Linked DNA regions of Caenorhabditis elegans. The protein of the gene in region 4 interacts with the protein of the main gene of each other region in a pairwise test. Each region holds a gene or a part of one and is shown on either strand. Other genes may lie near its edges.

Region 1 (9,428 bases), on a different chromosome or scaffold from region 4:
AAATGTACATGATTTGCTATTCTGACATGATTAATTCAAAGTTTGTTTATTGAATTAAAATGGATGGTTCCAAATATTTTGTTTGTTTGCTGTGAATAAAAAAGAAAAAAAAGAAAGTTGAAAATTTGTTCCGTATCGTCACTATTCGCGTAACTTATTTTTGTTTCATCTTGTTGACTTTCAACTTGTAGGTCAAAAATTGCACTTCCTTCTGGAGCATCTCCCCGTATCTGCTCACTTACTCGTTGGGTGATCCCTGAAATTGTTTTTCATTCAATATCTTCTCTGCACATTAGAAACTATTTCGCCCAAACATCAAAAACCGTTTATAGTTGAAAAACAATTTGTAGAATTTGATGATCTAGATGCGTAGTAGTTACATCATCAAGTTTTGAATATAAATTAAATTATTATTATGGATAGAAAAAAGAAAACAAAATATAAATAAGATAACTTTCAAGCTTCTGATAAAGTTTTTTTGTGAGGTAGGCCCGTGGGCCTGAATTTCGATCTGAATCTGAGTTTGAGTTCAATCTGAGTTTGCAATTAATTACATATAACATTTCAAAGCGCACGCATAAGCCAAGCGTAAAGTCCCAAAAACTTTAGTATATTTCTCTGGTTTTAAAATTTTGTGATCTCTAGTAATAAAATCAAAAATTGACTTTAATTTCCCCGCCTTCTGAATAAATTTGAAGTCTATTAGTTATCTCTGTAACATTCGTGATCGTTGACCGGAATAATAACTGAATATTTATTTATTTTTGTGTTTTTTACTTCATGAGATATGGAATTTGAGAGAGAATGAGATGATGGAAATCAAATGCTTGAGAGAGCACACAAAACTTGTACAAATGCTCAAGAACAATAGCGTCATCTGGAATAGGGAAAAAGGTTTTCACAGATTTTCAGACAAGTTCATACAAGTGGGAAGAAGAAGAAAACACGAAGAACTAGTGCAATGACCGTAATATTTAAAACCAAATTGATGAGAGGGAAGGCAAAGAGATTTAGATAAGTTTTGGGAAGAATGGGTGAATTCTTAAGGTAATGTTTTAAAATTAATTCTGGACTTTCAAATTAAATTTGTGTATCAATTTCTGATCGACTTTCAAATATCACAGGTTTTATTTGAAAGTTCAGAAATAAGTTCAAAGCGTTTAGCTTGATGATGGCGGAGATGATTGACTTGATGGGGGACTTGATTGGAGTATGTGTTGAAAGAATAACGGATTCAATTGAGGACTCGTTGAGTAGGAGGGTAGGAACATCATCGGTGAAGGCAGCAGCGTTGGGTAGGACTGAAAATCAAAGTTTTAGTAATTTGTTTTCTAATATATAGTTTCGATTTCTAACTAACCGGCGGAGATGATCCAAAACCTTGAACATTGTACTGTTGATACATTGGCATATTTTTCCGACATCTTGCTCGCCGATTCGAAAACCACGTCATAATTTTCTCTTCGCTGAGCCCTGTCTCCTTGGAAATGCTCTCTCTGGCGTTGGCATGTGGGTAAGTGTCTGCGCGGAACGCATTTTCAAGAACATCTAGTTGCTCGGCAGTGAATGATGTACGATTTCGACGAGACGATGCGTCGTTTGATGGTGAAGAGCCCTCTTCGTCATCCGATGACGATTTGCTGCATTCGTCTGAAAATTATTTTTTTGAAAGGGGTTATCATAGCTACCATTTTTGGGTACGTGAATGCATTTTTGAATTTTCATTAACAAACTCTATACATCCTCTCTCTATACAGACTTTCGAAATGTGGAACTAATATTTTTCATCTGCCATTTTTTTCATCCGTTGAAAATCGAAAGGGCAAATGTTCCAGGCGTAATTAAAATAACAAACATTTTCAATAGCATGCGACGTCAAAAGTTGAAGTAACTATTGCAACTAGAATATATTTGATACCAGGGAGGCTCTAATGAATAATGAGCATGCTGAAATGCCTTTCTGAAAGGCTTCCGGACTCGCCTGCCTCGAGACTGAAAATTATTTGAGTTCCGCATACGTTCTATTTCAAAAATTCAAAATCAGACCCCCGCCTATCAAGCATTTTCCCTCAAAATCCGGAAATCAATGAGTCAATTGTAAGGTATCTAACAGAGAAAGACTACGGCCTGCCAGTCGAGTCGCCCAATTACTATATATAATGTTGCGCCACAGTGGGTGGTCTCAGTCATGTCGTAGGCCTCTCGCATAGACACACTTCTCTAAAAATAATCGATAAAGATCGGGAGAGACCCTATTGCGGGTGGGGGAGGGGGGGTGTCTCTTCTAATTTATAGACTTGACACCTTTGTGTACTTGAGAAAGAGATATCATGTGGTGGAATGGACCCTATTAATTTGTTTTTATCGTTCCATTTTTTGACGGATCACTCCATCATCACCGTCGTTTCTCACATCCAAGTTTTATGAGCTGTGCGCTAATCGGTTTCTGTCACAGGAGTATTTTATAGTGACGGAAGGAAGGAAGGTAAGGTTATTTCTATACAATGTTCTAATTTGAAGAATGTCGATTTCAAGGATGCTCAACTTGATCTTTTATCTCATTAATATTTTTCATCCGTTCTTGTCAAATCAAAGCAGATTTCTACCGCACTTAGTCCTCTTTCTGGTAATAGTCTGCAGAAAACTTTAGCTACTTGCCGAGTAGAGTAAGATTTTCAAAAATGAATTCTCCCTTAAGCATACTGTAGTTTTTAACGATATCGTTCTATAATTCCCAATGCTCATTAAGAACGGCGCGGGGGAGTGCTATAATATATTCCCATTGAGCAATGTATTCTGAGCGTATTCCAGGAAGAAGAAACTTTTGTTTCCATTTCTTTTTTCACCTGGAACTTTATCACTCCAGTCTCTGATACCTAAATATCAGTCGTTGCGTTGTGTTTTCAACGGCTACCTATTTTTGGAAAATATTAATTTTTGTTACTTATGAATGTAATAGAAATATAGACATGTGGAAAATCATGGAAGTATTCTGACAAATTCGGGAAATTTCTGAAAAATCACGTTACCGCACCGCCGAGTTCAAACTTTGGTTCAAGGTTTGTGGTGGAGAGAGGGTAACTCGGACTCGGTAAAAACTTGATAATAAACAAGCTCACAATGATCTGTCATGCCTGCCTGCCTTCCAGGCAAGCTGACCAACACCTACTAACGATCTTGCGCAACATACCGTAACCCACATCCCTAACAATCATATTGTCAAATGTCAAATGTCAAAGTTTTAATGTGTTAAATTGCGGATATGTATTATGTTCGTATGCATGTGTTTGCTTTTTTTCGCGCATCCCAATCTTCTCTCGCGCCAGTCACTCGTGTGCCCATCCTGATCAATTGGCCGCGAAAATATGGAATTTATTGGATCGTTTTCTCCTCCTCCTACCTACCTATTTGAATAGGCACCTATCAAGTGCGCAAATCTTCTCCCCCTATCTTAATTGCTACGTGTATGCGAAAATGTGCGAAGTTGAGCGGTGGTTCACAATTTAAGGAATGACAAGATTGACGACAAGTTAGGAAGCGGGAAAAAACGGGACAGGAAGAGAGGGGAAGTGTTGAAAGTTTTGGAAGACAAGAAGTTGAAACAGCAGGAGGTAGTGGCATGACCCCTAGAAATTCAAGTAACTTGCAAAAACATAAGTTTGTGGCTGTCTAGTTTCTTATAAAAAGTAGGCTAAAAGTTTTGGAAGTTTTAAAAACCAAAAATTTCACTTTTATTCGTTCTATATAAACAGTCTCAAAGCTGTTGTTAAACTTGAATTTTCAGACAAAGATTTAATGAAACTGTTTGGAGTGCCGAACATGATAAAAATGCCTGCCTGCGTGCCTACAAGGTAGGCGTATGATGCCTGGAATTTGACATGCTCTTTCTTTAGATTACGATTTTCTTGCACAACTACCGTACCCTACCGAATGTGATTAACAACTGAGCACAGATCAAACAAGATTTTAGGATCAAAAGTGCCTGCTTACCGGACATCAAGGCGACCTACCTATAGGCTTCACAATGCAACATCAGACCCTAGACTTCACACCAAGATGTAGACGAATAGGCAGTAGGCAAGCTAACAGGTAGGCCTGAAGACACGCGGGACATTCCGGTACGCTTGTTGCAGATCAGGAGAAACAAAATGCGGTACACTACCGTAACCCGTAATTCAATCAGTCATGGTTCTCTCCCTGAAGATCTCCGTGGCGGCGCACAGCATGCAACTCACAAACAAATACGATGGTCTTGTTGATTAAAATCAACCCCTGACGCGTGCCCCCTTGTCTAATTCACATCATTCTTCACCGACGCTTCTTGTCCTTTCCGCCCCCACTTCTTCAACGTCTTCGCCTTTATCGTCTTATCACACCGTTAACATACACAGCGACATACAGGCGATACTAATCAAAGTGTTAATGACCGTTATTATATCAAAGAAGTCCAATATACAGTATGCCCTCTGGCCCCTTTGGGAATATTGGGAGGAATGAAAACTTTCATGCTACGTCTGTTTGTGTGTTACTATATGGCAGAAGAAAATTGAATTGAAAGAACGGAATGTTGCCTGATTGAACAGGAAATCCGACACCCAAAAAAGGTGTTGGAGGACATGAGACAAACGGAACGAAATTATAAATGTGTGAAATCAAGACTATTCCAATTAGACCACTTACCAATTGAAATTCCCAGAATGCTGTCGATACTGTAGCTCAGCCGTTTTCGTTCCATTTTCTTCGGAACCCCGACGCCTGCAAAAAAGTATGTGGTGATTTGTGTGAAGATAAATATTGATAAGGAAATTAAAACAAAAAAAAGTGATAAGGAAGATATGATGAAAAAGTGCAGCAAAAAAGATGATATGATTGGCGTGAAGAAATGATTGATGAGGTTATAGAAAGTGATAATTTGATCGAATATGTCTAGAAGTTCTTCTTGTGAGGTTTGTTGAATTTTTGTGGAAAATCACGCATCAAAAAATGACGCCCAAGCAAGTTTCCATGAAAGTATTCGAAACAAAAAAAATCGTTGTCAACAGTTAAACAAACACAACCACAGCTATCAGAAGCGGAACATTCATCAAACGAAACGAATTTCTGTTTGTTTTTCATCTATTCCTCTACCTTTTTTTTGCCTTCACAGTTTTCATCATTATTATACCTTTATTCCCAATAAGCCTTTTTATCGCAGGTACTGTTGGAGCATTTCCTTTTGTGCAAATGTCTTTGTGAATAAGCCAATCTCGGAGCTCTGCAGCGCTCATTTGTGGATTCTCATCACATGCGATCAGAATTTCTTTCTCGACGGCTTGGACTGTAAGTCGAGCGCGGGGACTTCCACCGATCTGAAATTAATTCATAGATATTTATGTTTAAAAAGCATTTGCTTTCGCTAGGCTTATGTAAGAAATATGACGAATATTTTCGGCAAATCTACAAAACTGCCCAATCCCAGATTATAACTCTTTTTTTTATTAAATTAAATGTAGAAATATAGATAGAAAAATATTTGATCAGTTTGAAAATATCAGTTATTTGCATTGAAATAGTCGAGAAAAATTTCAAAAACTGTTTCAAAGTTGTCATTTGCCGAAAACGTTTTGATATCAGTTCTTGGAAAGTTTCAGGTTGTTTTTGAGATGATTTTAAAGTTTATAAATGAATAAAAATTGTTTTGTATATTTGCACTCCCCGTTCTACACTCTTTGCCGTTTTGCAACCAACAAAATGGAATTTTCAAGAATTCAAAGTTTACTTTTTTTGGAATTGTAATTACCGTATGTTTTTGGTAACCAAAAACCTAGTAGACAACAACTACTTTAACAGAAACACAGACATCCGACGCATTTTTTGAAAAATGCCGAAAAGTGCCACCCGGGGCGTCGCACCTGCGCGACCCGCCAAAATTGAGTATTACGGTACTTTTTTGAATCAGGACGACGACACGCGGCACGTGTAGGCAAACATTAAATTTTATGGTTATGATTCGCCTGCCTGATGACCTAATTAGCAAATTATCTTATCATCCAGAAAATGCACTGACCTGTCCCGGAGATATTGAGCCCGTCTCGGCGTAACGATTCAAGATTTTCGAAACAGCTCCATGAGATACTTTGAGTTGACGACTGATGTGACATGGTCTAAAAGATTATTGTTAGTGTTCTCTAGAAGTTCGGACTACTTACTTTATACCCTTTTTGGCCATTGAAATGATAGCATGACGAACGTGAATTGGAAGGGGTCGACCGTTGATGAAAACTCCACCGAGTTGGTTAACACGACCCTGAATTAATTTTGGGCTTCAATAGAGGCGGTGAGAAAGGAGAAGAAATTGAGACTTGGAAAACTCAAAACATATTTTCAAAAACTTTTCAAATGCTATGAAAATCTAACTTAAGGCTAACTATAGTAATGATACTATCTAATTTTTGTGATGCTTGATGAGCTCTATTAACAATAAATCAAAAGTTTCTATAGGCTACAACTTCAAACTGTATAATTAACAAGAGCTTAATTTTAGCTCCTTAAAACGTCTGAGCCAGTATAGAAATAATTCGAAATTAACGTACATTCTAGAACCATCTAGAATTTCCAAAAATTTCTTCAATCAAATTTTTCCGGGATACATCTCCTACTTCTAGACATTAAAAAATACCTGAGCAGTAGTTTATGCACTACAACTAGAAAACAACTTATCGAAACCATAGACTTACCTGCCCAAGAATGTGATTAAATGTGATAGAATCTGTGGTCATTTTGTTAGTAGTGGATGGGATATCAGGAGCACGTATGGCTGGCCCCCAATATACCGAATGTGTGAATATCAGGTATATAGCGTGAAAACTTAAGGAGCGAGTAGTTTCGAGGTGACACGCCTTGTCGAACTGTGAATGGGCGGGACGGCGATCCCGCCCACCTATGCGCATGCGCGGTCTGTTACAGGCATGCATAGTCTCGAGTACGGTAATCGAAACCAGCGAGACATAGAGAAGGGCGAAAGACACGGGCGGTAAGCATCAAAGGACGTACTAGTAGATGTTGGCGCGGGGTATGTGGGTTTGTTATCAGAGATATTCTGACTAGGAGGTGGATTTTTGGAGATGAAGATTTATGTGCTCGATGGTTTTGATTTGAAAGGTCAATGTTTGGTAGTAGCACCTGCAAAATGGTGATTCACCTGTGGATAGTCTCGAAGAAAAGGACATCTAGGAGCGTGCGGATCTTGCAGATTCAAAATATTTGCAGATAGCTACATAGATCTAAGCAGTCCACCGTGCTTCTGGGTGAAGCTAGAAGTAACTCTAACATGAAACTGGAACCAGAAACGAATACTTCAAAACTTTAAAAATCGTTCATGTCCATTAAAAGCTTAAACAGCGTTAGAATTATTCATGCTACTAATATTTGAAAACAGCTTCTTAATGGATTTCAGACAAAGTTTACTTTCTTTGTTTGCTTTTTCGATTATGTGATTTGTTGGACTTACCTAACACAAAAATAATTTTCTGATTACCAAAAACATACATATTCCAAAAGTTGCAATTTCACGGAAACAAGAACAGATAGAACAAACAGACAACTTTCGAGAGTAGTGTAACTTGTTGGCAATGACCAATTTCCCCATTTTCATTTCCAGTGTTCAAAAGTGTAAACATATTTTACAAACAAAAGAGGTCAGGAGGAAAAGTGCTTCGAGGATACGGTACAAATATTTCCAATGAGAAATTTAAAGATATGACTTTGCAAAGATCGACTACATTCTTGCCTACCAGCCTACGGGTAGGTTAATTTGAAATCTGAAAAAACTAACATATATATGTATCTGTAATTTGAGACCAGTGTTAGTTGTAAGTTTGGAAAAATAGTTGTCACCTCTATTCATTCAGATTTTCAAGTATTTCTATAACTATTCTTTTTTCAGTATCCCTTTACTCTGTCTTATCTGATTATTCAATTTCAGACGTTCTTTTAGACCTATCTGTTTTGTGTCGGCCCGACTTAAGAACCTACTTGTCTTATCTCGATCTACAATGTGCAAAACAAGTTCATCCGCGAACTGTCAATCAATAAATTGCTCGCAATTAGCGAGTCGGTGTTTGGGAGGGCTCGTGTTGGGAAAGTTTATGTCATTGAGATGAATAATGGTATTTTTAGTTGTTTACCGACGGTGTCTAAAGATATAAATCTATTCTAAACTACACAATTGGAGAATTATTTGTGAGTTTCAGTTAGAAACAAAACGTGAAAATATGTGAAATAATGTGAAATAATCCTAGTCATTAATCCTTTATTACCCCATACAAATAGCCTTTTAATACCGAAAACACCTGAAAACTACACGTGCATTACCCAATCAACAAGTAGGGCCCAATTTCTTTTTCGGCACGTGTCACATCATCATTTCCTTCTTCATCTTCCCGGATTGCGCAAGGTTGTCTTACACCATTTTCCTGATAATCTGGGACCATGTTATCAGGGGGACGAAGAAACGGTGGCGGTATCGTTTGAAGTGGTATGCGGTCATAATTAAGGGCCACGCGCCGATGTCAACTTTTGGGGGTCTTCACACCTTTGTAACACTTGGATATATCTTTATCTATCTATCCGGAGAAGTGTGAGATGATGATGATGCGGGGTTTTCCGCTATCTGAAAAGGGCATCATCTATGGAGAATTGATGGGCTGAGTGCGGGAGTTTGTTGACAAAATGTGAAAAGAGTTTGTCCCAGCCACCGTGTTACAGTGTCTCATTAAACTCTACAATACTTATGTCATTATTGTAATTTCTCAAATAGATGATACAACACTTTAAAGGCACACACTGTTTGAAATGAAACATTAGAAAATATACTAACTTCAAATTAAAAATATGAAATTCTTGAAAATTTAGCTTATTGACAGCTGTCTCCATTTATTGTTCGAAGTTCTGGATTCTTATTATTTGTATTTCATCATAAGACTACAGTAATCCAAACACCTTTCAGCTCGATTTCGACCGGTCTCCTTCTCAAGTTCTGCAAAAAATCTTAATTGACTATGATAGGTTGGGCAGCAGAGAAAGATTGAAATAGAACATCAATATTTCCCACCACATTCAATTTTTTTTTAGCATCCCATCACTAGAAAAATGATAGGGACGCCTTCAATTTATCAACACCCTTTAATTAGCAAATTAACGACTGACACATCATCGACAAAGGAAAATGAAATTGAGACTCGATAGTGTCGACAAAAAGAAGACGGTTAGCAGTGTGTTTTATAAGTGACAAGATAATATCCCCGCATGTCACATCGAACACCTTTAAGGAAGAGAGAGTACAACCACTTCCGACAAGTGGCAGATTGCTGCGGATTAGGAAATATACTGTTGCCTGCTCCCACCCGACAAAAGAGCCGAGGTAATCTTAGGCCATGTGGTGGGCATTG
Region 2 (9,317 bases), on a different chromosome or scaffold from region 4:
CTCAATATTTTTATATTTTGAAAAAAAAACTTTGATTTGATGAATTGGTAGCACGGAGAGCTTCAATTTAAGCCCCATATTGGCTGGAAACGGTGGATTTTGAAATTTTGGCTAAAAACCGCGACGCGACCGCACCGCGTGGTCAATTTTCAATCGGCACAGAAACAAGCCGATAAGGGGGTTATTTGAAAGCTTTCATTCACAGGATTGTAAATTCAATGGTTCAAAGCCTTGAAAAACTTACATAAAAGTAATATAATGTTGTCCAAAAATCAACTGCCTGGTACAATAGATGCAAATCAAACAAATGAAGCACAAAAGAATGAGCCCGAGCCAAATTCCAGAATGCTTGAACGCGAGTGGTAGTGATAACATTCCAGTACCCATCATCACTTTTATCATATGGATCAATGCCTGATCAGCAGTGATTGATCGGGAATCTCGAACCCTGGAGGCGAACATTTCACCCATTGTTGGCTGGTGAGAGCCCCGTAATGGCAGAAGCTCATTGCCACGAGCAGTATCGTAGGAAGATACTGACATTGTGAATTGGCTGAAAACCTAGAAAAAATGAATGATGGGAATATTTGAAAAAAATTAAGAAAAAAAATTAAGAAAAAATATGTTTTTTTGAAAATTATTCGAATTATACCAAAAACTCGAATAGTTCTGAAAAACTTTAAAGTAATTTTTGTTGTATTTTCCAATTTTAAAAGATTTTTCATATAGTTTTAAACATTTTTCCACGAAAATGCCAGTTTTAGAAACAAGTCTAGAAAAGTTTTTAAAAAAATTTAAAAAAATTAATTTTTCAGACAAAATTGAAACCGTATTTTCTTTTTTTGAAAAAAAAATGTTGAAGTTTATAATTATTATTGATTTTTATGAATTTTTAAAAGAAAAATTGTATCAAAATCAAAATTTTGAAATTTGTTACTGCAGTTTTTGAGCTACCCTTTTTTTAATTTTCAAATTTATTGTTCAAAATTGTATCAATTTTCAACAATTTTTCCCGAATTTAAAAGTTTTCTATTAAATTTCAAGTCAAATTTGTTGCAATTTTTAAATCTTAAAACTGGAAATTCCCTAATTAAAACAAAAAGTAAAGAAAAACGAGATGGCAACTTTTTTTTGTTTCAAACAAAAAGAGCTATTGATGAAGGGCAGGTGATAAGGAAGGCGAAATGATAAGACAAATTGCGATGTGCACATATATACTTATCAGGAAACTTTTCCTGGCCTAATTCTAATTACACAGAACACTTTGACCGGGGGGAATCACTCGATTTTTTGGTGCGAATTTATTGAATTTCAGTGAAAACTTTTTTGGTGAGTCGCTGCTCAGCCAATACTATGGCTTCGTATCATATTTTTCTCTTGAATCAAAATTCCAAAACCATTTTGTCCAACGCTTCAAAAACTATAGTGAGTTCTTTAAAAAGATTCTAAAATCTTCTGAAATTATCCGACAACCGATTTCACCATAATCCAAGATATTCAGCCAAAAGAATAAAAGTGAAATTAATTTTTTTACATCAATTTTTTTATTCAAATTCAAATATTCAGACACATGCATGCACACAAATTTAAAACCGGATATCATATGAATACCACCACAAAAAATTACAGAAAAATTACACTAAAAAATTAAAGATTTTGCAAAAAATGGCCAATTGCGTTATTTACACGTGGAAGACGATTTGCAGCGAGCTATTCTGATCTGAAAAATATACACATTTTGCTAGAAGTTTTTCAGTTTTAGTATGTGGAGCGGTCGCGTCGCGGTTCTTGTGAAAGTTTTCAAATTTTGAGGAACACAGTCGAATTGGGTGTCAAATGAGGACTCTCAATAAAAGAAATACATACTTTGAAACAAAACTATCAAAATCATTGAGAACTTTGAACATTTTGAAGTTAAAGAAGTTTCAGAGATTTTCAGATATGAAGCTTCTTAAAACTCAAAAATGTTCTAATTTCTTTTAAAAGTTAAACGTTTGAGTTTTTAAAAGCTGATTCACGTAGTGTCAAAGTGTCTCATTTCGGTTTGATCTACAAAAAATGCGGGAATGTTTCCCCATAAAAACGTGACGTCAACACGCTCTTAATCATGCGAAATTAGTTGAAAAGTCTGCGTCTCTTCTCCCGCATTTTTTGTAGATCAAACTCAAATGAGACACTTTGACACCACGTGCTGATTTACATATTTCTGACAATTTCGAACTTTTGGGCGCACGGCGCGGTCGCGTCGCGGTTTTTGCGCAAAAAATTAATTAACAAAAAATTTATGTGGCGATTGAACCTTGAAGTTGTCAGGAAAATTTTTTTTTAATTTTGCTAATTACTTTTACGGAAAGGCTGTTTAGTTATGCGACGCCGCTGCGTCGCGGTCGCGTTGCGGTTTTGTCTAAAATTTTAAAATTGAGCAAATCATATCGAAATGGGTGTCAAATTGAAGCGAGCAACAAAATAAAGCCGAATTTCCTCTTTTCGAGAAAGAATTGTATTCTGCGTTACGGGTGTATCGCGGATTCAATTTTCCTTTTTTTAATTTCAAAAACCTACTTTATTGAAATTTCTGCAGGATTGCCGGGTACCGTCGGTGCTGCTGGCAACGAATTCCCCGTTGGAAAAACATTCTGATAAAGCATCATAATTGATGGATTCAACTGAAGAGTCTTGCTCAGGCACTGCTGAAACATTGCCTGCTGCAGAGCAGAGGAGTGGTAGAAGTTGGAGAGCATCATGTCGCCTGGGGACCTTTCCCTGAAAAATTGAGAGGTTTTGAGTAGGAAATTCGAAAATTTCAGATTTTTTAGTATATAACTTTTTTGCGATTTTTCAAAAATTTGCAATCTTTTGTAACAACCGCCAACTCCCCAAAATCTATAAAAAAACCTACATTTCATCCGGCGACCTTCCTGTAGGATCCCTAAACCCCTTTGCAAAAGGGTTTTTCTCGATTTTCAGCTTTGTTATCTGGAATTTCAGAACTTTTTTTCAGAAAAACCTAGTAGCCATACCAACTGATTTTGATAAGCCGTCACTGCCATAAATTGTGTTTCTGGAAATGTGTAGGTGCAGTGTTTTTCTTCACTCATCACTACTTTGTTGGGGTCCAAGGGGTTGGCTTTCTGGCGTTGGACAATGTGAATACGTGGCTGGTATTTGTGCATTGAGTTTAGGATTAGCTGAAAACTCATATTTTAGTCTGAAAATCTTCTGATTTGTATTTTGGAGCAAGTCTCTAGGGCCAAAATGAACAAAGTTATGACAATCTTGGTAATTGGCTGAGTAGCGACTTGGTAATCGTAAGATACGGAGTTTTTTCAAAATTTGACCGATTAATCTTTAAGTTTCTGAGCTGGTGAAAAAGTATAAACAAAAAGTAGAAAAATGAGAACTGCTGGATCTGTGTCCAAGAGAAAAAATTGGAGATCATGAAATTATGCGTAAAATGCTATATATTGTGATACGGAGACAGAGTCGCTACTCAGCCAATTTGTGCGATAAGTAGCTAGGGCCCTGAAAAATGCTCAAAATGTTCCTAACAACATCGAAAATAACTTTAATTTTTCCATACAATTTTTATTCAAATGAAAATACTCACATGACCCGTCTTATCCACCTCGTTATTTGTCAATTTAGTCTTTTCAAACGAAATCACGTGCTTCAGCAGTTGATCACCGGTAAATGGGGAGTCCGGGTGAAGGTAATATCGATTTTTTGGCACAGGCTCCGCTTTACCGGCTGTGAGCCAAGCTGATTTGTTGTAGATGTAACGGTATCTGGAATTATGAAGATTTAATTTCTAGAAAAAAAGTTTTGAAGGGAAAAAGTTACCTTTTGGAGTCCACTGGGACTACATCTAGGAAGATATAATATAGAGCATCTAGTATTACATTTGTGAAGGAAACTTTAACTGTTGGGAACATTCGCCTGGAAACATATATATTAGGGACTTTGGAAAAATTTGGAAAATTTGGAAAAAACAATTTTGTAAAAAGAATTAGATTTTCTTTAGGCATTTTTTTGAAACTTATTATGTTTTCTAGTTATTTTCCACAATTTTCAGCTGAATGTCACTTGCCACTGCCAAAATTAGGGGTTTGCATTGGAAACTAAAACTTTTTGAGACAAACTAGAAACCCATGGATCTTAAAAACAAAGGAATCTATCAGACAATTTTCAAATGGCAGAATACTCAAAAATGTAAGTTCTATAATTTGTGAACTAGCAACTTATTGACTAAACTGATAATCAGAGATTACACACAGTTTCAAAAAATTTCAAGCTCCACAAAAGTTCTTGTGAAACTTTTTTTGGAAAAATTTCCAATTTTTTTTCAAATTTTTTTAAACCATCATAACTTTCTTCAAAATTGACATTTTTTCATCATATTTTCAATATTTTGTACTCTAATTATTTTTCTATATTACTTGACATTTCCCATCACCAAAATCATTATCTATTCTACAGTAATCCTAATTCCCAAGTGACCCATCAAAGACAGAATTCAATCACAGCCCTCCGTACTACTACATCTTCTGAATTGATGAATGTGGTATTTGATGGGTATTCAGAGAAATGTTGAAGACGACGAAGAAAAAAAAGACATTCAAAAAGATGAAACCAATTACAAATACAACCATATTCCCTACAAACCACACAAATTGATTGGGCGGGGTACCTTTGACAGGGGGTACTGTAGGTGTTCGGATCGGGACGGGTTATTGATTTTTTTTGAGAAAACGTGGTTGTAGTAATATTTTTAAAAATTTGGTGGAATTGTAGAGATTTCAACTTGTTGAAAATATTTTGAAATTCGAATTTTCAAAAATTTTTACAAAAAATTTTTTCCATAATTTTGGAAATCGTCCAAAAAAATTTTACCACGATCTTCGCTTAAAATTTGGTTTTGGGCCGTGCCTGGGGTATGTTAGGTGTTTGAATTGAATAGTTATTGTTTTTTATAGGATACTATTTTTTAAACCATTATTGAAAAATAATACTCTGAATTTAGATAATTTAAAAATTTGCGTTATTTGTAAAATTCAGTTTTTTTTAATTTGTGAAAAAATTAGAATTTCCTAAAAATGCAAAATTTTAAAAATTTGTTTTTTTAATTTAAATTCTCTCAAAATATTTTAATGAAATTAAAAAGTAACTTTTTAAAAATTAATTTTTACAATTTTCAACGATTTGGCTTATAAACTTTAAAGTAAATATTTAAAAACAGTACAAAAAATTAATAATTCATTTAAAAAAGCCTTCAAAAAGTAATTGTTATAGATTTTCAGAAAAAAATTTGACTCAAAAAATTGTTTTGTAAATTTCAAAAAAAAAGTTTTTTCCTAATTTCCCTTTTTTTTAACTAACCATTTTTTTGTGTTTTCCCACCTACAATGTTCCGAAAATTCGCGAAAAAAGCTCATTTAACTAAGTGACAACTAGTATACACCCCTCCTTTATGGGGGTCCATAAAGAGGGTCAAAGAGGATCTTCCTTTTTTCACAAATTAGCTCGAAATGGGGTAACAAAATAGAAAAAGAAACAAGTAATTTAGATAAAAGGGTTTATCCGTTTCTTTTTCCAAAAAAAAGAAATTTTCAAATTTTCAAAAAAAAAAATCGTATTTTTTAAGAAAAAATTTTCCATTATCAAAATCTCAAAATTATCTAAATTTTAAATTTCTTTTTTTTTTTTTTGATTTTTGCAATTTCCCGTTAACTTTGTAATATAAATCTTACCTTCCACTTTTTGTGATAATCATCTCTGTGCCCAAATCGAAGAATTTCGCCCATAGCTCGGACCCCTCTAATTTGCACTCGATTGGTAGATTTCCTTCCTGAAAAATGTTTTTTCATTTTTATTAAAAACAAAAATTATTTTTATGATATAGGTTACAAATTATAATAAAATATTAATAAACCAAGAAAAAACAGTTTTTAGACAAAAAATTTGAAAATTGTGGGCTAACTCTCGTTTTTTGTCAATATTGGCTGAGTAGCGACTCAAGGACTCCGTATAAAATTCGAATTTAACACGAATCGACGCAAATTTTTATGAGCTACACAATGTATTTTGTTTCAATTCTTTATGACCAAAATGAACAAAGCTAAAACAATTTTGATAATTTGCTGAGTAGCGACCCAGGTGATACGGAGTTTCCTCAAATCTTGCCAAATTTTATTGAAAATTTTGGGCTTTTCAGCAAAAAAAGGTCGCTACTCAGCCAAATATTTCAAATCGCCATATATGTGCTCATTTTGACGCTAGAGTTTTGATAAAAAGACTAAGTTTGAGATCCTAAAATTTTGCGTCGATTTGTGTATGAATTAGTGTGATACGGAGTCATTGAGCCGCTACTCAGCCAATATTAAAGCCACGCTGTTGTTTCATATAACTTTGTTCATTTGAATCCAAGAAAGTTGGTTCAAGAAGCAAATTTATCGAAACTTATATTTTCTATTAATTTCAGTACAAATAAAAAATGAACTGAGTAGCCCACCTTCATTTTCAAGCCAATCTTCGGCCGACCCCTTGATCTTTCAGGACTTTTCGATGGAATTGATGATAAATCCACGTCATCCACGTCTTCAACATCAACTTCCACATCTTCCTCGTCTTCTACTTCATCAAGAATGTTGGCAATCGAAAAACGGGGTTTCTGGAATGAAAATTTGGGTTTTGGAGGCGTTTTGGGAGTTTTGAGGTGTTTTATTACAAAAAATGGTAAGAGAAATTCCCTTAAAATACGAGAAATTACAAATCTTTCCAGATAACTTTATTATTGATTTTCTTGTCTTTTTAGATAGCTTCAAACCGGGTTTTAGCAGTTTTAACGCTGAAAATACACCTTTTCTGCCAGAAAACACTTGTTTAATATTTCAGTCAAATAGTTCAAAACTCCACAAATCCTTTTAAAAAACTTTCAGCCAAGCTTACCTTAACGGGCTCCGAATCTTTATCATCTCTATCACTTGCACATCTTTTTGACATTTTTTTTCAAAATTTAGTATCTTATGGAATAAGAAGCTCCGGGACTATAAAAATTTCCAGTTATTTTTCTGACAATTTTCAGATATTTTCCCCGAATTAAAAGAAGAATACGTTAGAGAATAGCTTGAGAATATATAAGTGTGAATTCCGATTTCACAAGCACCCCTCCGCCAGTAAATGGGCGGAGCTGGCCAATTGCAGAAAGGGAGGTGGGAGGAGCTTCTGAAGGGAAAACTGGGGTCCAGATGTTCCATAATTTTAATTGAATACTTTAGATTCTTAAATTTAAGATTGTTTTAAAAATAAATGAATTTATAATTTTGAAAATTTTAGGAGTTGTTAAAAATAATCTAGAATTTTTAAACTTTGCTGAAAATCAATATTTCCTGTTTATTTTTGACTTTAAAGCAATGTTATGTTTTTTTACAAAAAAATCAAAATAAAAATCATCAAAACTTACGTTTTTACACCAAATTTATTGAATTTTGTGAGGCTATTTTTCTGGATTTTTCAATTGAAATTTCAAGGCTGAAATTTTTTTTTAATTTCAAACTTACATGAAATGTAATTAAAACACAGTTTTAACAAATAAAAAATTATTGAAAACCTTAGTTTTTTCGAATATTCCAAAATTTCGAAAAAAAATTAAAGTTTGGAAAAAATTTCAAAACCTCGTAATTTTGATGGAAATTTATATTTCCAGTCAAATTTTGACCTGAATTTTTCGAAAAGTTACGTGGTATATTAAATATATTAAATTAATGACTATTAATAGAATTCGAACAAAATATTTTATTGTTTCAATTTTAAAAAATTAAATAATGACCAATTTTGAAATTTTGAAAATTCTTTCAATTTTTAGAAATTTCGTCAAATTTCAGAAATGCTTAACTTTTCTGAAGATTAATATTTTAGCTAACTTTCGAATTCGATTGTTTTTTTTTTGAAACTGTTAAAAATATATTAGGACATTTATTTATCAGACATACATTTGAAAGAAAAAAACTAAAGTCGAATTTTTCTTTTTTCTCAAAAAATATTATTTTTAGGTCCAAGAGTGATGTAAAAATTAAATTTTCTCAATGAAAAAATCAAAATCAATAACTTAAGGTTAAAATCTCGCTAAATTCAAGCGAAAATCAATACGCTCCACTTTGTACCTATTTACACATGCCCCAGTTAACCCCTAAAAACTGTAAAATCAGGTAGAAAAAAAAAGGAAAACAGCGGGTTGTCGATACGGTAGTACAGTAATCGTAATCACCTCCGTTGAACAGATTGACTAATTATCATCACACATTCTTCTTCTCTCTCTTGCGCGCAACGCATTTTATGGCTCCTTTTATGGTTCTCACAGATAATGGTTTATGATCTGAGAGATATCTGGGCCTACTTGTAGGATTCTGATTAGTTTTACTAATATTTGTGGTTTTCGACATTTTGGAGAAAAAATTTAACAAAAAATTAAGTAGATAGGGTAACTTTGAGCAAAGTTAAAAGGAGTTGAAATTTTTAAACAAAACTTTTTTTTTGAATTTTTCAAATTTTTTATTGGAATTGTTTTATTTTTTAATCAATTTGTTGTTTTTAGATAGCTTGTTAGTTCTAGACATTTAAAAAAACCAATGAATTCATTAAAAAAATTTAAATTTCAAAAAAAAACCCCCCAATTACAAGGAAAATTCAAAATCCTAAAGTTTTCAATTAAAGTTAAAATTTTTCGAAGAGCTTTTCAAATTTCACATTTAAAGTATTATATAATGAGTATATGTATGCATAAAAATTTGAAGAAAATTTTTTAGAAAAATTTTAAAAATACAAGAAAAATGTTTTTTTTTTAATTTTTAGGATTTTTTTCTGTTTTCTCTACAAAATCCCCACTATTATTTTCGCTTTAAGTAATACAATAGTCTTGCAAAATTGGAAAACTCAGATTTTATTCAAAAATACAAAATAACATTAATGCTTGAAATGCAAAAATTCGGGTTCCATGGATAATTTCATTGTTGACTAGCAAATTTGAAGAAAATTTTCGGTATTTTAATACTCCAAATTCCTGAAAGCTCATCTAAAATGTGAGTCTAAGTAAAAATTTCAAGGAAATTTGGTTTTTTTTTTAATTTTGCTACATTTTCAATTTTTAAAACTATATCCAATGAGGTTTCTGAAGAAGTAAAAATATTTATTTAAAAGTTCCAGTAATTTTCGTGCCATGTTTGAAATTATCTGCAAACTGCCCATTATCCATGTACCATAAAGGGTCTGTCCATCCAAGAGGGGTCTGTTACAACCTTATTATCATAACAATAGATGAGAGT
Region 3 (6,057 bases), on a different chromosome or scaffold from region 4:
AACATTTTACTGAAAACTGATCCTAGAGTGGTTAACCTGATTTCTGAGTTCTTTCAATTCTAAAAATAATAAAAAATAACTCAAGATTTTGGTTTTGTGAAAAAAATATAAAAACACGTGAAAAACTTGTTTGTAGTCATTTTGCAAAAAAAAAAGTTGGTTTTTGAGCACAATGTTCAACAAGCTTTGGGTGTAGGTAGGTATGAGGTAGGCCTGTCCATTAGGAAAGTATCAGTGTTCATTACGTCTACGCCGATGTTATATGGCACCTGCCGATTTGATCAGGGCTTGAATATTAGAAGCTAATTTTGTACTTTTTGTCTAAAATGGTTCTAATTATTTATTAAAATACCTTGGGTAGAATATCGAAGAGCCCAACTGGTCTCATGTCTCGCCGGAAAACGCGTCCTTTAGTTACTTGCGATCATATTTTTATGCTATTCGAGTTCCTTTTATGCTATTCGAGAGCTATTCGAGGAGCTACTCTTCTATTTTGGCTCTGATTATTTTTTGTCACTGTTAGAATTTCTATAGGCACGACTGACGACCGCTTTTTTCCCGGAAAACGCCCCACGTAAATTTGCACGCATACTTTTGGTTGGGAGCCAGTGGGGCGAGGATCCTCCCCTTCACGTAACACCTCAGTCTTCCGAGTAGGAACAAAATCGCAAAACTTTCGTGGTAAGACCACCGGCACCCCATAAACATTTATTAAGTAACACACACACAATTAATGCGTTCCTTCCCACTGCCAATCTTCTTATCAGAAAGATGAAATGACCGTCTCAACCGAGCCTGTGTGTCTATTTGTGTGTGGCCTTTGTAATAGTTACCACCTAGCTGATAACCGAGAAAGTTGGATTACCTCATGATTCCCTCATAAATTTGCCGACAGGTTCTTTAACGAAAACATATTTGTCTTTTGATTGTCTATTCTCTATTTACAAATTGATAATTGGGAGAATGCCACCCAGAATTAGTCGATTTAAAATTGAGTATGATCTACATAGATCTGAGTAGTGGTTGATCACAATGATATAATTATTATATATTAGTATCATTTTCTCTTTCTCTCTCTCTCTAAATTCACCCTGTCATCAGTGATGATTCTCAGTTTCGAGCGGCGGAGGGGCGAGCGTGTGGGCGGAGCCGCGTGTCCAATGAGCGTGGGGCGGGGCGGTCCAATTACCGGTGTTTTCTTTCGTTTATTCGCTTTTTGTGACTATGACACCAAAACGGAAGAATCAGTGGATCAGGCAAAAATATTATTATTAGAACTAATAGTTGGATTTAGGTTGGGTATCATTCTGTACCTATTTCACCTGATTTCTTGTGCTTCACTTGATCTTTGTCTTTATTATTATTGTTATTATTGTTGTTGTGCTCCTTGTTGTGCTCCTTATAAATCCCGTAAACTCTAAATCTAAATTGTTATCTAATACTTTTTATTGGTTACCAATAATATTACTTCTGCCAAAAGAGGCAAAACGCCGCGTTTCAAAAAATGAAAATTTTTATCTGTTGTTCATCACTGTCAAATTTATGATTATTAATATTTCTCACCATTCAAATTAAAACTTTTGCTTCAAAACTACATAAAACATTCAAAAACTTGAAACAAATTTTATTCGATTTTTGCAAGTTTTTTATTTAAAAAAAATTATACCGTATTTTCCCTAGCATTCATTTTGCTCATATCTCGGTTGTCCCAAGTTTTATCAAAAAAATTTTAACTGTCATAATGTAGAAAAATAATTTTTCCATAGTTTGTAAGTTGACAATTTTTTGATAGAACCAGAGAGAATCGAGATATAAGCTGTCAAAGAAGAGCAAGGTGCATGCAAGTCAAATAGGAAAATAGTGGGTTTTCCGGTTTACAAATTCGCATAGTTTTGAATTTTTTACAGAGTTTTCACCATTTTAGAGAATTGCTCACATTTTCTGAATTTTTTTTTCAAAAAATTAACTGGTACCTAAATTGAAATTTAAATATTTTGAGCAGAAGAGGTGAAACTCTTTTTTTAAATTTTTTAATTGCTTCTCATATTGATACTATTCTCTTTTTGTGCCAAAACTTCTAATCAATGCCCCGCTCCTTTCAAATCCTAAAGTTCCACTTAAAAACTGAAGAATCAAAAATCTTGAAACCTGTACTGTATGTACTCTTCCAAAAAACCACCTCCGTGCTTTTCATCATTTACAACTTGTCTCCCAGTCCTCGTCCGCAACTTGCTTTTGATATATTTTTTTCGACTTCTTCATTTCAACACATACCTACACACACAAAAAAAGTTTGCGCTAACACATGTCCGCCCGTCATAAATCTACAGTAATCTCGGAGCTTTCTTTCTCTCTCCTGATGCTCCCACACCACTCTGTCATTTTTCAATTGTTCTTCTCTTGGAAGCTCATCTCTCGTTTTCATTTGATCCTGCTAGAAGACACTTGATATGTTGTTTGTGTTAACTAAGATAACTGATATTGTTGAAAGTGATAGCTTTGCTTTGCTTTTCAACTTTTCGTGTTCCTCCTGCTCTTTTTTTTGACAGCTTACTAGTACCGAGTTCGGACCCCTGCATAGTACTACAAATATTATATTAATATGAGAATGATATACCCTTATTATCCCCCCACGTACTCTTGAGAATCATTAGTATGTTTCAATGTTTCGCCAACAATGGATTGGTATCATCTGCCCTTACCTACCGTACTCCCTCAAGTGCTCCCTCATCCATGATTACCGTACTCCCCTACTCTCCTCCCCCTTCTATCCGATTATAACATTTTTATTAATAATTATTATTGTCTGGTGTCTCGCGATGCCATCTCTATCTTACGATTTCGCTTTGAATTTTGATAACGCTATGAAAATATTAGCTTTTCTTATCTTTTTTATGTTTTACTTTTTTTCATAATTTTTTCATCAACTTACTTGCAGAAACTAACTAGGTAGACACCGGTAACAATGCTCTTTTCCATGGAATCAATTCTATCAAGTACCAAGCCAAAACTGGAGCCACCTCCGAAGCTAGAGCCGGAAGTGACAATCAATGAGCAAGTGGTTGATCTGCCGCGGAGCAACACACGGCTCTCCGAGCCATCAACTTCTGCGTCGGTTCTTGAACATGATTTGAAGTTTGGGGAGTCCCGAAAAAGAAGTCGGTCTCTTGGAGACGAGCCCACGGAAGATGAAGACGGCGTTCCAGTTCGGAAGGCAAACAAAAGAAATCATTCAACTTCAAGTGCTGCAGATAGCTCATCTGATGATGCGAAGGATGATGACGACGATGATGATTCTACATCGTAAGTTGGGAACTTGGGAAAAACTTAGGAATCTTAGAAGAAATTCGATTTTTCTCGACCTCGACCTTTTAGGTCCTTTTATACAAAAAGTTTGTATGCTCAATTTTTGTGAAACTTTGATCTCCGATATTTTTAAGTCTATTAGACATTGTTCAACTACCGTATTTTCCCTGTATGACTTGCATTCTCTTTACTCTAACTTGACGGTTTATATCTCGGTTGTCCTAAATCTTACCAAAAAAGTTTAACTGTAAAAATGTAGAGATATATTTACATGCATTTTGTCAGTTGACAATTTTTGATGAGACCAATAAAAACCTAGATATTGGCTGTCAAAGTAGAGAAATAGGTAGAGCAATATACCTATAATATGTACAGTGATATGTACAATAATATGTACTGTGTAAAACAACTGTAACTCTATAATTTTGCAGTCGAAAATCAATGTCTGGTCACCGAAAGAGCAGTCACGCAAAGCCACCGTACTCCTACATTGCACTCATCGCGATGTCAATTCTCAATTCACCGGAGAAGAAACTGACACTTTCGGAAATTTGCGAGTTCATAATCAATAAGTTCGAGTATTACAAGGAGAAGTTCCCCGCCTGGCAGAACTCGATTCGTCACAACCTAAGCCTCAACGACTGTTTTGTGAAGGTGGCTCGGGGGCCTGGGAATCCGGGAAAAGGAAACTATTGGGCGCTGGATCCGAACTGTGAGGATATGTTCGACAATGGATCGTTTCTGCGCAGAAGGAAGAGGTAAGGGGAGCACAGGAGAAAGTATTACAACCTGACGGGGAGTAGTAGCCGGCGGCGGGGTGAGCACACATACGAGATGTGAAGAGAGGGAAAAGACAGTTGTTTCGATAATTTGTCACCAATTTGTTGTCATTAATCGCACCCTCGAGGGTAGTGGAGAAGCCTGGGAAAAGAAAACTTTCGGGGTTAACAAGGGAATTAGTGAGATAAATTTTCAATTCAAACACTTAATAATTTCAGATACAAGAAAAACAGTGACACATATCACGAAATGATGTCCCATCATCCGATGCCATTCCCTCCATTCCTCCCGCAAGGAATGCCCTTTCCTCCAAGAATGATGCACCCGATGGCTAACATTCCCATGCTGGGACATCCAATGAATCCAAGAGCAGTTCCAAACATGCCAGCGTTCTTCATTCCACAAAATATTGATAGCCAGAAGCTCTTGTCAATGATGGCTTCGAGAATAATGCCAATGGATGCTCCAGTCAGCTCTGGCCAGAAGAGAACTTCATCGAGCTCCTCACCAAATGAGAATGGATCTTCGGCAGTTTCAGATAAACTGAGCGCTTAGAAGAACACTCAATTTCCTTGTTTAATTTTTAACAATTGTTTCCTATTTGCTTAACCTTTTCTAGTCTCTTGTTCCTTTTCCGTTCCCCTTCAATTCCTTTCAGCATTCTTCATTTCCCCTGATCTCAATCGTGCAATCAATAATCAATTTTTTGTTAATCCTCCTGCACGTGGTACCACAACTTCATTTCTTCAACTGATCTTCCCTTTTCTTTTTTTTCTTTGTTTCATTATCTGTGAAAGAGCTTATGTCGTAAATAATTCGAAAATATATATGTCCATCGTCAGCATTTTTGAAGTTAAAATCACATTAATCAATTGAGCAAACAGTAAGATGAAAGGAGACCGCAGAAGCTGCTGAGCCGATTAAAAGACTGAAATTGATAAGGGAGGGAAGTGACAAGACTGCTGCAGAGTTACTAGTCTGCAAAATGTCATGAATCCAACAAAAAATCAGGGTTCAGAAGACTAGGTTTTTAGTAGAAAACATACCGAATTTTTCAATTAGTCTTGCACCAAATTTGCTCTACTTTGGCAGCTCATATCTCGGTTGTCTTCAATTTTAACAAAACATTTTCAACTGTAAAATCATAGAAACATATATGAAAAATATTTCTACTGTTGAAATTTTCGTGATAAAACCAAAAGCAGCCGAGATAAGAGATCTGAAAGTAGAGCAGAAGGGGTGCAGTACTAATAGGAAAAGTACCGTAACTTACCTTTTCCTAACTTTTCTAAATTAGATGGATATATAACTGGACGCGAATATTAGCCACAGACAGAGTTCCTCAGCCTCCAAGAGTCCTCATTTTTCCATATAACCTGGCTCCTTTGGACTAGATAGAATTTCTAAAAAGACGACCTATGCCTACTTTTCTGTGAATAAAAACCATTAAAACCATAATTTAAATCAACATAAAGCTACTTGTTGTTTGGGCAAATAATGATACTAACAATTAAATGAACATTTTGAAAACTATGCTAAGATTATTCAAATGTTATCCTAATTACCAAAACCCTAGTTTAACTCGGTGACTTTTTGAACTCCCGCCAAACCATATAATTATCTCAAGCATGTCGTCTTCATTTCTATCCTAATTAGATACCCATACATAGTGTATATATGTATATTCAAACTATACAAAACGGATATTGCTTATCAAATTCATTCATCAGTTTGCCACGTCAAATCAAATTATCGAGAAGTGTGTGTGGGGGTGCAGTTTCACCTTATGCCACCTCATGTTTCGTTTGACGGCACATGGTGACAGGCCCGATGAGATTTTGAACCGTTTAATTGATACTAATCGGTATCTTAGGTTGTATTAATGTAATTACAAATACCGTATTTTTTAATGGTATGCACCTAACTAGTTAGAGTTATCAATTGTATTGGACCAACGAAAAAAGCCGATAC
Region 4 (7,025 bases):
GTTTTATGTTCTAATTATGTAAAATATGCATATTTCAACATTTTAAAGGTTTAAACATGATACAGTGATATAGATTTTTCGAAAAGTAAAAACACAGTTTTCAACGCCTTTTGACTCAAAATAAAAATTGAATTATAATATTTGACCATTTGAGTACAATATATGGTAAGAATGGTTTTATTGATTTTCCCACAGGCCGTATAGTCCACCGTTATTCAATCAAAGTATTAATTTCAATTTATTTAACTAAATGTAAAATTTCAGAGCCGGTGCTAGTCTGGTCCAACTCTATTCCGCGTTCGTCTATGAAGGATTTCCGGTAATCGGAAAAATCAAACGAGAACTTGTCGAACTTTTACGGAAAGATGGATTTTCGCATGTTTCGGAAGCAATTGGAGCTGATCACAGAGAAAAAACGAAATAATTATATTCCCAAGATTTTTGTTATTTTTTCAGGTTGACTTCATTTTCATGGGTGTTTCAAAATTGTTTTATAATTGAATTATTTTCTTCCGATGTTCAATGTGCCTTTTCATGAGATTGTAGGGTAATTCTTAGTATTTTCTGCATAAATTATTTGATTTCCTTATGTTTTTTTTTTCAATTTATACTAAAGTTTCTGGTTTTCAACCGAAATATATCACTTTTGAATAATTTTCAACGACTTAGAGACCATTTTTTGTTTCAGGGTTCATCAATTATGTCGGAGCTACGTGTCATTTCTCTCGATGAGGTCTCAAAGCACAACTGGGAAGATGCTGATCAATCGTGTTGGATTGTCATCTCCGGAAAGGTAATTTTTTTTTCATTTTTTAAATTTAAATATCGAAATCATTCCTTACAGGTCTACGATGTGACAAAGTTCTTGAATGAGCATCCAGGAGGTGAAGAAGTCATCACTCAATTAGCCGGTAAAGATGCTACAGTTGGATTCCTCGATGTTGGGCACTCAAAAGATGCTATTGAAATGGCCAATGAATATCTCATTGGTCAATTGCCAGAATCAGACGTTCCAAAAGTCGAGACAGCGGCTGCGAAACCTTCGAAAAACGAAAAATCATCATCTCTCCTCAATGATTTCACCGAAATTATGACTTCACCAACATGGACCAACTTCCTGATTCCAACTACAATGGGACTTGTCATTTATGCCGTGTACAAGTGCATGTTCAATTAAATTACCTTAGCTCTTATCCTATTCTTTTGATCTTATGCGCCCACTTTCTTGAAATGCATCAAAGAACATTTGTTTCTATGGACTTTTATATATGTGATAAAGATTTGTTGTCAATATTTTCATATGTTACTGAAGGAAAAATGGGTGGAGCCTTGGAGATATCGATGTAACTTTAGTCGCAAGATTAGTCCTATTGAAACAATTAAAAAAAATATTCAGATCAAATGCTTCGTCAGATTCTTCGTCCAATTTTGAGTATGGATTTTACACAAAAAACAATTTTCTAATTTCTTGACGATTCAGATTCTTCCCGCCGATTCGCAGATATAAAACCAAAACAAAGTGCGAAGGAGAAGGTGATGGCTGAGAAGACACCGAAAGGAGCACTTGATAAAGCAGACGAACAACAATATGAAGATCCTCACCTCAAGAAACATCCGGGAGGTGTGAATAAGTCAACTGGAGAAGTTGGTGGACCAGCTGGACCAGAGCCAACTCGATATGGTGATTGGGAGAGGAAGGGAAGAGTTTCAGATTTTTGAAATGTTTTATTAATTGCTGTTAAAGTCAAGTCAGATCATCATTGTTTTGTAGTGCAAATAAATAAATGTTTTAAACATAGAGTGACATTAATCGTAATAGGGTACACAAATACGAAAATTTGACAAACGAAATTAGAAGAGATGAGAGAGATGAAACGATTATCGTACAGAATAGGGGTTTTGAGTATCATGATCATAAATTCACTGCGGAAAAAAATTAATATTCAACTGCATAGAGAGTTGCCTTCTTCTCCCCTGATCCAGTGACAATGAGTGAGTCGTCGAATGAGATGTCACATGAGAGAACGGAGCTGTTCTCTTTTAGTTGAAAGAGTGATGCTCCGTATGGAGTACGCCAGGCGTTGAGAGCATTGTCCTGAAAAATTGAGATTATGAGGTTTCAATTAGAAAAATTGAGCCAATTACCGTATTTCTTCTATTAATATGGCTGCAATACTATTTTTCGATGGTCTTCCCGCTTGCAAGACTAATAGGGAGTGCAAGAATATTAGGGAGTGCAATACTAATTTTCAGAATATTTTTCTGACTTTGAGCTTACTAGTTTTTTTCTGAAAAAGCTCGAATCTTATGTAAAAATACAAAAAATTTTGATTTTAATTGTAACCTATAAGTTCAAAAACTTCAATTTCGTATAAATTTTGTGAAAAATTGTTGCACAATAGGCAAAAAATATTGTTGAAATCCTGAAATTAGCGAGATGGGTTTGCAATAAAAAAAAAGTAAACGCAAGACTATTAGAGAGTGCAATAGGGAGTGCCATACTAATTTTTGGAAGGTCTCCGAGGGGCAATACTAATAGGGAGTGCAAGTCTAATAGGGAGGCCATACTAATAGAAGAAATACGGTAAATGACAAAGTATAATCAAAACATACCTTTCCAGTTGAAATGAAGAACTTTCCGGAATGCGCAAATTTGAGCGAAAGGACGCATGATTCGTGTTGTGTCAATTGATACTTTTCTTTTCCAGTTGTTGACAGAACCTCGACATAATTATTCTCCATACCAACAGCCACCCATTCATCATTTGGACAACATCCAAGAGAGAAAACTTGGCTCGCAAAATCATGCTTCGCAACTTCCTTTCGTTGTGCAAGATCCCAGCATCTAACAGAATTGTCAAGACCACCTGACCAGAGCTTTGTACCATCTTTTGAGAGATCGAGACATGATGCTCCATCTTGATGTCCAGGTAGGGTTCCAACTTTCACCTTATTATGGATATCATAAATGAGGATATTTCCATCAGCAAGACATGCGAACAATAATTTCTCATCTGGTGACATCGCCAACGCGTAGCATGCTTGTGAATCAGTTTCCAAGTCCAAAGTTTTTGTTTCAGTTGTAAGATCCCAAAGAGCAACAGTACTGGCTTCTCCTCCAATCAGAAGTGTATTTCCATCTTCAAAGAGTTTACAAGATCTAATATAGTTCTCTTTGAGACAATCCAAGGATGCAATTGGAGGCCGATTCACAACCGTTGCGCCAGAAATATCTGATTCTTTGACATCCCAGATCTTAACACATCCTTTTCCACCAGTATAAACACGACTGTTATCACGGGAAATTGTGGCCGCACAAACTACTTCTCCGTGATTTAATTCCATTTTCTTCTTGAGACCTCTGCAATTTTTTTTTTCAAATTTGAATCAAAGCCAATTATTATATTTTCTTACGTCGGAATTCCGGGACCTTTCTGTGCATCTGGAGGGAAGGATGTAGGTGTTGGAACTCCACCGTCCACAATTTTGAATGAATAGGCCGGTCTGCTACCGATTTGCCCGATGGCAGCTGCAAGACGGGCCTGTGCATGGGGATCATTCAAAAAGTTGAATCCTCCAGCAGCACTAGCTTGTCGGAGAAGATTTGGATCTGAAAATTGAAATATTTTGGCATTGCCTGAAGTTTTGGTATTTGCTCCCTCCACTTAGCACACTTCAAAAGATTGTAAACACGTACTGAATCCAGCTAAAAAGTTCATTTGCTCCAATCCTTGAAGCCCAGCGAGTGGCTGCTGTTGTTGTCTTGCTCTAGAATTTGATGCGATGCTCGGTGTAGATGCTCCCGATGAGGCAACACTATTTGTGCTATCTCTTCCATTTTTATTAGCTGCGCCTCCATTTGATGCAGTACTTGGATGATCATCATTTGTGACATCAATCTCAAGTTCTCCATCATCTGGATCTTCCAGCTTGGCCTTTTTCGCTTCACTTGCACCTCCAGAACTTCCACCGGCTCCATCTCCACCGTTGACATGTGGTGATGCGAATTGATTGAATAGTTGACTCATTGCAGGGCTCATTCCGAATGGCATATTTGGCATCATTCCAAGCATTCCAGCTGCACCGGGAGGAAAACCTGGTGGAAGTGCTGGTGCTCCATTTCCATTTTCACGTGGTGATGCGGTTTTGAAAGCTTCCAGTGCGGCGAGGCAGTTTGCTTGATTATCTTGAGATAGTTGAGGAGCCAACTGAAAAATATACATTTATAATATTACCTAAAATTGATTATTATGAATTAAAAATATTACATAATAATTTTTCTTCTATTTATAAATGAATATATGGAAAGAGGAGCATGTTTGAGTTGAACAAGGTACAATCCAATAGATATTATAACGTTTCCATAATATTTAGTTCAAATATTTCAACAAAAAAATTGTAATAGCTTTTTCTATATTTTTGTTCGATTTTTTAATAACATTATTGACGAGTTAATTTACCGATTGCATGATGAATTCCTGAAGGCGTTTGTTGATTTCTTCTGCTTTTCGAAGATCGCTACGAAGAGTATTTGATACTTCAGCGTACGTCATATACGATCTATTCATATTTTCTTTCTCTAACGCAACCTTTTCGATATCCGACTGCAAAATTGTTTTCAATATACTAAAATTTCTCTTACAAAATTAAGCTTACTCGTTGCTGGTTGACATGCTTCGACATTTCCGCATGCTCGTCTTTGATTCGATCGAGGGTTTCCAGATACGATGCCTTCATTTTTACTGAAAATTAAATACAATCAAGTGGATAGTGAATTATTAACATAAAAATTATGAGAGGAGTTTTAAAAATTCGATCAAAAAAATGCAAGGAAGAACAGACTAGTGATGGATTGGGAGAAGACAACAAAACTCAAGAAATAGCACGTGGTTTGAATAGACGTTGACAACGAGACGAAGAAACAAAGAAAGAGGACATGGGTTTCCAGTGGTGTAGACGGAGAGAATCATACATTAATTGCAAAACGACTGGTCATATAGCCCCACTAACGTTGAAGAATGAAGGAGGTATTGGTGTCGAGGAGGACGAACGCGCGGCGATGAATGCGACGCTGAATGGGTGACCGAATGGGGGGAGGAGTTGTCGATAGAGCACATTTGTTTTGAGCTCTTTTGAGCCCGAGTGTAGAAGATGAATGTATCCAATAAGTTTGATATTCAAGTAACACGAGGATCCGAGGATTTCTAACTAATATTTCGAATCAAACACGATGAAGCTGCAACTTACTATAGAGAGAAGCATTTATAAATATTTTACATGTACATAATCACAATTCCAGTATAAAAAACTCACAAAATTATCTAAAAAAACGGAAAAGGTTGAAATATTGAATAAAGAGACATAAACCTGTCTTGAAGAAAATATTTTTAAAAAATCATGTTTAACAAATAATAAGTTTATTGACATGGTATGTTCTTAAATAATTTGAGATTGAAAATCGGTAAGAAAATGAGATGAGAATCAAATGATAATAGTGAAAATTGAGATTCAAATGGAAAGAATAAAAACTCTTGAATGATTCTATTAGATTAAACAACAAGACGGTATACTGTAGCAGTCATGAAAATTTAAAAAAAAACCAAAACATGAATGAAGCTCCATTTTGTCATTTGTAACTAATTAGAAGCATTCCGGAGTGTTGAAGAATATATTACACATATAAAAACTCGAGAGTTTAAACTCATTAGGAAATCAAATATAATTGTCGTTTCATTGCTAACTGATCAGAAGACTGGACTCGTGCCTCTGGAGACACTTTCTTCTTCGTCATCAACCTCCTGCTTCACCTAAAAATACATTTTTAGATTAAGAGTGCAAGTCGTCTCGTGAAAAATATATTCTTGAACACGACACTTGATTTAAGGGCAGCGTAAATTTATATAAGGATTAAGGTAAATGAAGCTATCAACAACTAACAAGGTTATGCCCTTTGATCAATCATTTCATTTCAGTAATTGACACATTCATTTCCCACAATGTTAGATTTTATCGAAAAAGGAGGGATGTGATGGGTGGTTATAAACATTCAAAGATTCGAGAAGGCGATAATTGGTTGGATGTGTGTAACAGATGGTGGTGAGACGATGGTGTACACATTTGTTTGCACTTTATGTCATCATTATGACAACGAATACAATGAAAGTCAGATTTATGTTCCAGAAATAGAAAATTCCCATATAAGGGTCACCTTGGGTCAAATTGATGTCGGTTGATGGAAAAGGGATGTTTAATGGGTGAATGAGAATAATAAAATGTATGTGGTCGAGGCATTTGGAACTACATACATTTTATGTCTGGGATGCCGCTGTTTTAGATCATTTCACAAATTGAAATGAACATTTGACACAAATGTGGTCCTATTAATCAGCGCATTGAAACAGTTTCGCACCGAATATCCACAATTTATATTGAAAAATAATGATTTCTTTTTTATTCAAAACATCATAGGAATTGTTGAAACAGTAAACTATTTTTGGATTTTAACATTTGTAAGATTTTTGAAAGATATGGAGACTTACTTTAATTTTTTCGAAATTTTAATTGCCGAATTGTTTTTTGAAACTTTATTTTTTAGAGTTAAAGTTTTTGTCCAAATAAAATATTTTTCGGCCTTAGAATTAATCAGCTCAAGTAGTGGTTACACAACTCATAAAATCTCGTACACATACCACTCCAACAGTGTTCTCTTGATCTCTTGGCTCTTCGGGTTCTTCGGAGCTTCTTCTTGCAGATGTTGTACTCTCTTCAGTTTCTTCTATTTCTTCATCTTCCATACTTGGGTCCCTACGGCCTCGTTTGGTGGCTCTGAAAGCATCTCGTTACTTGAAAATTATTTAAAGAAACAAAAGAGGATTCAATAATAAACTGGAGAAACAATACTTTTTGAAATTTAAAACGTACGGTTCACAAACTTCTTCATTAGCTTGCCCGCTCAATTTGTTGCGAAGAACTTCCATATCGATTCGGAAGTCACGATATCCAATTGAATTGTTCTTTAAAAATAT

Evidence for each region.
Region 1: the proteins of unc-37 (region 4) and pax-3 interact in binary tests that used the Caenorhabditis elegans proteins (3 or more experiments, as listed by UniProt).
Region 2: the proteins of unc-37 (region 4) and mab-9 interact in a two-hybrid assay, tested with the Caenorhabditis elegans proteins (2 studies listed by BioGRID).
Region 3: the proteins of unc-37 (region 4) and unc-130 interact in binary tests that used the Caenorhabditis elegans proteins (3 or more experiments, as listed by UniProt).

The regions. Positions count from the first base shown.
Region 1 is NC_003280.10:10,144,178-10,153,605, reverse strand, and holds pax-3 (Paired box protein 3 homolog), read right to left. Parts: upstream 7,037-9,428; 5' UTR 6,759-7,036; coding exon 6,717-6,758; intron 6,287-6,716; coding exon 6,189-6,286; intron 6,144-6,188; coding exon 6,047-6,143; intron 5,349-6,046; coding exon 5,165-5,348; intron 4,756-5,164; coding exon 4,681-4,755; intron 1,651-4,680; coding exon 1,361-1,650; intron 1,302-1,360; coding exon 1,161-1,301; 3' UTR 741-1,160; downstream 1-740. Other genes in the region: F27E5.3 (uncharacterized protein), read left to right, coding at 9,414-9,428. UniProt on the Caenorhabditis elegans protein: Transcriptional activator. Regulates the lateral/ventral epidermal cell fate decision.
Region 2 is NC_003280.10:513,838-523,154, reverse strand, and holds mab-9 (T-box protein 12), read right to left. Parts: upstream 7,132-9,317; 5' UTR 7,000-7,131; coding exon 6,946-6,999; intron 6,668-6,945; coding exon 6,509-6,667; intron 5,846-6,508; coding exon 5,748-5,845; intron 3,937-5,747; coding exon 3,841-3,936; intron 3,786-3,840; coding exon 3,608-3,785; intron 3,189-3,607; coding exon 3,021-3,188; intron 2,977-3,020; coding exon 2,900-2,976; intron 2,764-2,899; coding exon 2,563-2,763; intron 1,721-2,562; coding exon 1,711-1,720; 3' UTR 1,520-1,710; downstream 1-1,519. Other genes in the region: slc-36.2 (Amino acid transporter transmembrane domain-containing protein), read right to left, coding at 245-543. UniProt on the Caenorhabditis elegans protein: Transcription factor. Involved in cell fate determination; required to pattern the posterior hindgut.
Region 3 is NC_003280.10:11,279,030-11,285,086, forward strand, and holds unc-130 (Forkhead box protein unc-130), read left to right. Parts: upstream 1-2,936; 5' UTR 2,937-2,965; coding exon 2,966-3,303; intron 3,304-3,737; coding exon 3,738-4,064; intron 4,065-4,304; coding exon 4,305-4,641; 3' UTR 4,642-4,930; downstream 4,931-6,057. UniProt on the Caenorhabditis elegans protein: Probable transcription factor. Binds to DNA sequence motif 5'-CTGTTTCA-3'.
Region 4 is NC_003279.8:6,740,588-6,747,612, forward strand, and holds unc-37 (Transcription factor unc-37), read right to left. Parts: upstream 4,743-7,025; 5' UTR 4,738-4,742; coding exon 4,657-4,737; intron 4,605-4,656; coding exon 4,461-4,604; intron 4,209-4,460; coding exon 3,698-4,208; intron 3,611-3,697; coding exon 3,415-3,610; intron 3,362-3,414; coding exon 2,614-3,361; intron 2,096-2,613; coding exon 1,937-2,095; 3' UTR 1,720-1,936; downstream 1-1,719. Other genes in the region: dhod-1 (Dihydroorotate dehydrogenase (quinone), mitochondrial), read left to right, coding at 265-424; cytb-5.2 (Cytochrome b5 heme-binding domain-containing protein), read left to right, coding at 701-793, 845-1,177; W02D3.12 (Succinate dehydrogenase assembly factor 4, mitochondrial), read left to right, coding at 1,402-1,432, 1,481-1,719; fnci-1 (FANCI helical domain-containing protein), read right to left, coding at 5,745-5,807, 6,690-6,825, 6,922-7,013. UniProt on the Caenorhabditis elegans protein: Transcriptional corepressor that functions with the neural specificity gene unc-4 to govern motor neuron identity. In concert with unc-4, represses the expression of VB-specific genes such as ceh-12, thereby preventing the adoption of VB motor neuron fate.